Linked DNA regions of Elephas maximus indicus. The protein of the gene in region 2 binds, or shares a complex with, the protein of the main gene of each other region. Links are inferred from orthologs where the notes say so. Each region holds a gene or a part of one and is shown on either strand. Other genes may lie near its edges. The genes, in order: NR0B2 and NR5A2.

Region 1 (3,702 bases), on a different chromosome or scaffold from region 2:
ACTTGGCCCCCGTGAGAAGAATCCAAACTGTGGTGGTGAGGGGGGATGGGGCCTGGTCACTATGAGTCAGAACCAACTCGACAGCACCTAACAACAACAACATGACTATACCACTGTGGACCAGCTAAATCTCTGTCTATCTTGTCTTCCAAGCAGGTACAAGGCTTACCTCCTCCCATTGGGGGAGCATGAACCACTCTCGTTCATTAACTGCAGGAATGGGGAAAGTGAATTATTCTACTATAGCAGTTCCAGAGGCCTTGTCTGTTTCAACTTGGGAATGGGCTGCTTCATTTGCCTGATTGGCTATGATCAGACTCTTAGTGAGGGGAGTGGGAACCTGTAGGGGGTAAGGACCAGAGAAGGAGTCAGTGGGGGTTTGGGGATGGGGGAGAAGCCCCTGCTCCAAGGATAAAACCAAGGAGGTACGGGGGTTTTGAACTAATCCTGTCCCCTGAGTTCAGACCCAGATGCAAAATAAATCTTCCCAGAAAATGAAATCATCAAGCCATCCTGAAAAATTAATACCTCAATTCCCCAAGGCCCAGCTCCTGTACCTGTTATGGCTCCTTCCCCCCGGACTCCCTCTGAAAGGGGCAGGATGGACCCTGGAGGTGAGATGGTCCCTTCCACACGCACAAACTACAGTATCAGACTCTGAGGGTGTCATACCTTTTATTACAAAAACCAATAACTTAAGTGAGTTCTGTACAAGGCAGTAGACTTTTGGCCCAACGAGCAGCCTAAGTGTCCATTCTCATCCCAGACAGGAGAGTAGTCTTGGGCCAGAGGCCCTGGGGACCACCAAGGGCTAGCCAGACAGCTGGAGCACTGTGTCCAAACCAAAGAAGCCAAGGCAGGGTGGAGCTGAGTGAAGGTCCCATAGCCCATCTGGCTAGACTAGGCGTGGCTTGCTGTCTATATAGGCTTGCCCCCTTCAGAAGCACTGGGTGACTCCTGGGGTCAGCCAGGCTGAGTCAGTGCTGCTAACCTCTGCCCAGCCTACACCTGATCTCTGCCTGGGCCGGAGCAAGTCAGCTCAGCAAAAGCATGTCCTCTAGAAGGCCAGCCATGTCGACGTCTCCAATGACAGGGCGAAAAAAGAGGTCCCCAAGCAGGCCAGGTGGGATGGACTTGAGGGTGGAGGCCATGAGGAGGATCCGGGCCAATCGGCCTTGGCCTATTGGCCACCAGGCCTCCAGGACCTCACACAGCGCCTGGTGAGCCTCCTGCTGTAGGTACCCAATGTGGGAGGGGGCGAGGAGGCCTGGCACATCTGTGGGCAGACAGGGTGAAAAGGACTGGTGAGCACCCCACTCCCAGCCATCAAAGGGCAAGGCTGCCAGCAGACACCTCTCTGCCTCCTTTGCTCAGCCTTTGAGGCCCAGTCATGACCTCCTCCTATTCGTTGCTCACTTTATTCATCCATCTATGTATAGAGGGGCAGTATAAAGTAATGGTTAAGAGCTGCTTGGGTTTGAATCCCAGTGCTGTCAATTATAAGCTATGTGACCTTAAGCAAGTTACCTCATCTCTGTGCCTCAGTTTTCCCTATCTGTAAAATGGAAGTAATAGTACCTAGTTCATAGGCTTATTTTGAGGTTTAAATGAGCTAGTGTATGTAAAACCCCTAGAATAGGGCCTAACATACAGTAAGTATAATATGAGCATTCACTACTATTATTATAATGAATTACTGTAAGTAAGCATTCTGTGAGGCCCTTTGGTGGGGAACTCTCATCTCAGATGCTCTCCAGATTAAAAGAGCCCTATCTCCAACTTTTTGCTTGTATCTCCAACTGGTGCTGTCCTGGTGAGTGTCACTAAGACTCCCTCCCTCTCCCGAACACGCCCTTTGTTCCTCCCTTCTATGTGGTTTTTCTGAACCCACGGAGTTCTACCTTCAGAGAAGCTTACTACACGGTCTGCCCCTGGAGATGGGATCGAAACACAGCTGCATCTGCCCGTTCTCACCCCATTCCTGCCTTCCCTAAGGGTAGGGAAACATTTTGGGTACAGAGTAACAAGGGCCAGTCTCTGGAGCGAATAGACCTGAGTTCCTGATCCCTGTCTTGCCCCTACCTGGCTGCATGACCTTCAACAAGTCACCTAGCCTCTGTGGGCCTCTTCACTGAGATGAGTATTTAATGATAATATGGACCCAATGAGATAAAGGATGTCAAGCCCTTAGAAGGTGCCTTCCCTGGATGAGCCTTATCCACCTCCCCCTACCCCAAGCCTTGACCCATCCCTCCAAGAGTGTCCGGAGGCTCACCAGGGTTGAAGAGGATGGTCTTTTTCAGGTAGGCATACTCTTTGGGGCCCAGCTCCAGGCTCCAGAAGGACTCCAGGCAGCACTGAAGCCACTGTACTGCAGCCAGGGAGGGCTGGGGCCTGTCAGGAAGCTGACTGCTGCTGCCACTGCTACCAGGCTCCTCCAGCAGGATCTTCTTGAGTATGCTGGCCACTGGGACCTCGGCCACCTCGAAGGTCACAGTGTCTTGGGCCAGCCCAAGCAGGAAGAGTGGACCCCAGCAGTCCCGCAGCAGCCGCCGCTGATCCTGGGGGGGCAGCTGGCAGAAGGATGGCAGGTTCTTAAGGAAGGCCACCGTCTTGCCCAGAACATCCAAGGCCTCTTGGCAGGTACGGTGGGGAGTACACAGGCGGACAGGCTTGTGCTGCTGGCACAGGCAGCGGCTATGAGTTGGGGGGACGAAGGGCCTGGCCCTGAGGCTAGGGCTCAGGAGTGCATGCAGGATGGCTGGGCGGCCGGCAGCACCCTGGCATGGGCAGGCCGCTGGCTGGCTGGAGCTCATGGTTGGGATCTGTTTCTCCTTCTTCCTAGCTCTCCCGCCCTCTGCTCTGAGCTGTGGGTGCTATTTATATCCCCGAGGGCGGGAGGGGGGAATGCCCAGACAACCTTGACTCCTGGAGTCATGTTCATTGAAAAACACACACACACACACACACACACACACACACACACACACACACACACACACACACACTGACCCTGGCAGGACTGACAGGGAAGTGGCAGGGGAGGGGCACAGTGGGTGCTCCATGTGGCACTGATATCACTTCTGTCAATGAAAGGGCCGGTGCAGGGCACAAGGCCGCCTGCCAGCTGACCCCACTGCCCCTTATCAGGCGACTCAAGCGGATAAACAGGGTCATTAACCCAGGCTGTACCAGGGCACCAAGGCCTCAGGTGCGCAATCAGCAGGTGACCATGGCAGGTGTCCCTACTGGTGCCCTGCTCTTGTGTGCACGCAAGACCAGGGCTCTCACTAAGCCAGGCAGCCAGCCCAGAGCTGCGCAAGCCTTGAACGCAAGCCCAACCTGGAAATGCCTTATCGCTGGCTTGTTTGTCTAACCTTGGGGCCCTGAGCCTGTTGTTGGTAAGTAACAGGCAGTGGGGGAGGGAGCCAGGACCCTGGGAGGCTGGAGGACTGTGCCCACTATCTAGAGGCCCCTTCCCTGACTCCAGCTCTGGGGGCCTGTCATGGATTGAATTGTGTCCCCCAAAAAATTTGTGTCAACTTGGTCAGGCCATGATTCCCAGTATTGTGTGGTTGTCCTCCATTTTGTGGTTGTAATTTGATGTTAAGAGGATTAGGGCAGAATTGTAACACCACCCTTACTCAGGTCACCTCCCTGATCCACTGTAAAGGGAGTTTCCCTGGGGCGTGGCCTACACTA
Region 2 (3,904 bases):
CTCCTGACCCCCAACAAAATGAACTCTGACTTCGCACCTAAGCGGCCTAGAGAGGCAACTGCTAACAGAGGGGCTCAACGCACACCCCGGCGATCCGGCATTAGAAAGGTCGGGGCTAGGGATGGGAACCCTCTTGGAAAATCCAAAAACAGAGGCCGAGAGGGGAAACATGCCTCTGTGCGAGGCAGGGATATCTTTCAGGGTTTCCAAGTGCCCTCGTGTAGCCAAGTTAGGCATTTGGAGAACTAAATCCGTCGAGGCAAAGAAGTACCCGCGCTTTCCCTAGTCTTGGTCTTGAGAGAAGAGAAGAGGCGGCGGGGCATTGGAAAACGAGAACCGCAGAGCGGCGCGCAGAGAAGTTCCCCTTAAGTAGGACGCTGCGCGCTGTCGCGGGACCCAGTATCCAGCTCTCTTTCTAGGATGCGCGCCCACCGGTAGGACCACGGACGCGTCCCCAGGCCACAGTCAGGCTCTGAGGGTTAGGAATGGGGTCCCACTCCCCGGGGCCTCCTCCCTACGGGGAGGCCGCTAGTCCAGGAGGAAGGTGTGTCCAAGCTCTCCATGCGCTGTGTTGGAACCCGGGGCTGAGAGCGGCCGGCGACTCCTCCGCCCTGGTCACTGGGAAAAGCTAAGGCTCTGCTCTGAGGCGCAGGTCGGGTCAAGAGCGCCCGTTTTGAACTTCACAAAGAAAATGTTACGATTGTATCCTCCCTACCCCCTCAAATAAACTTATTTCTGCCTCCCCTACTTCTTGCTCTAGTGTCTCCCTGAGCTGCTTTTCCAGAGTCCGCGCCGGAACGAGAAGCAGAAAATTTCCGTTCCGACCGCACCCAGCCACCCAAAGGATTAGACCCTCTCCAGGGCGCGTGGCGGAGGGACCCCGGCCCGGCTTCCTCGCGCCACTTCCCCGCGCTCCCACCTTGCGGACCAAGATTTCAAGCAGGAAAGCCTCTTTGGGCCAACCGGCTTCCCCCAGGAGCCTGCCGGGAGACACAGAAGTTAGTTTCCTGGGCTCAGCCCACGGAGACTTCCACGACTCTCTACGGTGTTTAGAGAGACCCGGGGATCACGACGCGCCCCCTCCCATCATTCCCTTTGCCAGGGCGACGTCAGGCCCCCAGGCCCAAGCGCCCGAAACGCGCCGCCTACCCGGCACCGCCGCGTGCACCAGCCCTGAACTCTGCTCTCAACACCTCCCGGCCCTTTCAAGTTCGCGCAAGGGGATGGCAGGAAGCGTTCCGGGATCACAGGCCCGCCTGCCCGCACATCCTGCGTGCTGGAAGGGGCGAGGATGGAAGAGCGCCGGTGACTTTTCCTAGCATTGTTCCCTCCCTGGCCCAGGGCAACTGCGATAAACTTTTGAAGGGCTTAATACAAGCCAGACAGGAGTTCCTATTTGGATTGGAGTGAAAATGCAGCCAGAGGGATTTATTTGTTTTCTTGTTAGCAATCAAGAGCTGCAAAGCAAATGGGATTTCCATATCTCAGCTCTTGGATTGAAGAAGGGGCATTAAGCTAACCGTTGCGCCCCACCTCCAAGTCAGTGGGCAATCCCCGTGAAGGGGACTTTGGTTCCTTTCAGCTCTGCCTGTAATTTTAAAGTTGCCCCAATTCGCACCGGTGTCCACTCGGGCTTTTTGGGAGTGGCCAGGTCCATTCTAAAACAAGCCTCCTGGGGGTCCCCTTCCCTTCTCTTTCTTTAGTTGACTGTCCTAGGCAGGGTGCTCTCCCTCCGCACAAAAGCATTGGTTAAAGTTTCCACCGATTCCAAGGACCGAGAACCTGACATTCCATTTCTTAGCATGATCTCATTATTCCAAAGTACCTTTAGCCTGAAGCTGCCCATCTCCGGTTGCCAGAGTTCGAAGCCTCTCTTTTTCTTGATTATTAGAAGCGGCTAATTAGGCATTGCTTGGAAAACCTCCGCTCCGCATTGTTCAAAAGCCATGAACTTTTATGCCCGCATCTGGGGAGGGGGCCTGACGTCTGCGCGCCGCCCAGCAGTCCACCGAGCACCCAGATGGGCCATGCGCCTGGAGGGAGGTTGAAGCCCACAAGGCGAGCCCGGGGGAGGGGAAGCGCCGGGAGCCGGAGCGCTGCGTGGAGCCTCCTTACCTTGCATGTTTTCCGGCATCTGTCCCTGTTCCCCATGCGATCGAGCCAGTCCCAGGGCTTCCGTCTCCACTTTGGGCAGCATGACAAGGCGGCCGCGGGCGGGAATAGGGGGTCCGTGTCCGTCCGGAAGCCCAGCACCTGGACACGGGCAGCAGAGATTCAACTCCGGCGGAAAGAAGGAAGGGGGCGACCGGGGCGCCCGCTCACCTACCCGCTTGCCGTGCGCTCCTCCGCCTCCTCCCAGGCTGTCCGTCAGGACCACAGGCCCGGTCCTGTCTTGCAGCTCCGGAACTGCCCCCGAGCCGCAAGGAGGAGATCGGGGCTCCGAGACCAGGTGAAGAAGACGGCGTGTGGGTGCCCTGGCTCGGCTCTGCAAGTGCGGAGGCGGTGGTGGCCGCAGCGAGGGCGCAGCTGCCCGGGGCGCGGACCCGTGTGCGGCTGAGCTCCCGGCGGGCAGCGGAGGCAGCCGCGGGGCTGCTGCTACCGCTGCGGCCGGTGCCGCTGCCGCAGCTCCCGGACAGCTCGGGCGACTCCTTCCCCTCCCTCCACCCGCCCTCTGGCTCAGGATCAGCAGGGGTCTCTCTCTCTCTTCCTCTCTCTTCACTTCTCCTCTCTCTCCTCTCCTGGCCTCTCCGCCCCTTCCCCCTGTCCCTTTCTGTCTTCCTCTCGCTCGCTATGGCAAGTGTGGAGTTGTGAAGTTCCAGCCTCCCTCTCCTGCCGCGTTTACTCTTCTTGCGCCGTCCGAGAGCAGCCCTTTCCAGCCCCTGATGGTGATGGTGCTGGGAAGGAAAGGGGGAAGACGAGCAGGAGAAGGGAGGTAAGTAGGGCCGGGGGCAGGGGGAGGCTGCAGTGGGGGGTGGGCGAGATGTGGGGTGAAAACACTGAACTGGGACGTGGGTTCTGGACTCCGGTCGGACACCAGCCGCCAGCCAATGAGGATGAGGCGCATGCTCGGGTCCCCTCTCCTGCCCCAACCTCTTCACCCGCCTTAACCCCCTCCCACCACGCCGTGGTCTGGGGGCGGGGGGTGTAAATGCTGCTGGGGCGTACAGCTAGTGAGAAGCGACCTCTGTCTGATTGCGGCGGCGAAGGCTGAGCAGCTAGGGCGGTGATTTCCGCGAGCTGAGGGGAAGCGAGGAGAAGTGACGGGGCGTGTGTGGGTGTCCCCGTGTGTGTGTCGGTGAGGGGCTGGAGAGGGAAATAAACGCCCATTTAAACAACAGAAAGGAGGAAATGGATTTTGAATTTTTGTGGACCGCTCTTCTCAAACGCAGAGCTGATCCTCTGTCAAGGGTCCCCGGGCTTCATTGCCCCTCTGCTTTCAGTCGTCGGAGAGGCCCCGCGGCGGGACCTGGTAGTCCTGGAGGGACCGACCGCCCAGGCCGCCCGAGGGGACAACCCTGTCTTAAGGCCCTGAGTCAAGAGTTCATCATTTGACAGAGATAACTACCTGTTTCCTCACTCCCCCAGTTTTCTCTCACGTATAAACTTACAAACTGGAGCCCAAGATTATTGTGGTATCAGACGTCCCAGGTTTAGTGAACTGTGCTCTGTATAGGATACAGTCTCTTTGGTGGGGATCCACGTGAGGCCCAGAGGCCCAGCATTAAAAAAAAAAAAAAAAAAAGTTTTAAAGACCATCTGTTATGCAAACTCTTCGGCCACCAGCCCAGCCACATCTTCAGAGTTTTCAGATCTCATCCCAACAAGATGAAAACATTCTTTCCAGCCTCCTGACTGCATGCGAAATGCCTCATATTCAGGGTCTGCTGGGCAACTGGGTAATTGT

Evidence for each region.
Region 1: the proteins of NR5A2 (region 2) and NR0B2 are in contact, whole or in part, in a crystal structure (PDB 1YUC), measured with the Homo sapiens proteins. The link is inferred for Elephas maximus indicus from reciprocal best matches to the Homo sapiens genes NR5A2 and NR0B2. Residues at the interface, in NP_995582.1 of Homo sapiens: Phe354, Val357, Arg361, Phe366, Val371, Asp372, Gln374, Met375, Leu378, Gln379, Asn529, Asn530, Leu531, Glu534, Met535; in NP_068804.1 of Homo sapiens: Arg17, Pro18, Ala19, Ile20, Leu21, Tyr22, Leu24, Leu25, Ser26, Ser27, Ser28.

Annotation. Positions count from the first base shown.
Region 1 is NC_064821.1:67,348,085-67,351,786, forward strand, and holds NR0B2 (nuclear receptor subfamily 0 group B member 2), read right to left. Parts: upstream 2,844-3,702; 5' UTR 2,817-2,843; coding exon 2,276-2,816; intron 1,277-2,275; coding exon 1,035-1,276; 3' UTR 727-1,034; downstream 1-726. UniProt on the Homo sapiens protein: Transcriptional regulator that acts as a negative regulator of receptor-dependent signaling pathways. Specifically inhibits transactivation of the nuclear receptor with which it interacts.
Region 2 is NC_064836.1:8,247,198-8,251,101, reverse strand, and holds the start of NR5A2 (nuclear receptor subfamily 5 group A member 2), read right to left. Parts: upstream 2,573-3,904; 5' UTR 2,367-2,572; coding exon of another isoform or gene 2,198-2,366; coding exon 2,116-2,197; intron 2,106-2,115; exon of another isoform or gene 1,826-2,105; intron 1,819-1,825; exon of another isoform or gene 1-1,818. Other genes in the region: zinc finger CCCH domain-containing protein 18-like, read left to right, coding at 2,196-2,366, 2,573-2,932. UniProt on the Homo sapiens protein: Orphan nuclear receptor that binds DNA as a monomer to the 5'-TCAAGGCCA-3' sequence and controls expression of target genes: regulates key biological processes, such as early embryonic development, cholesterol and bile acid synthesis pathways, as well as liver and pancreas morphogenesis.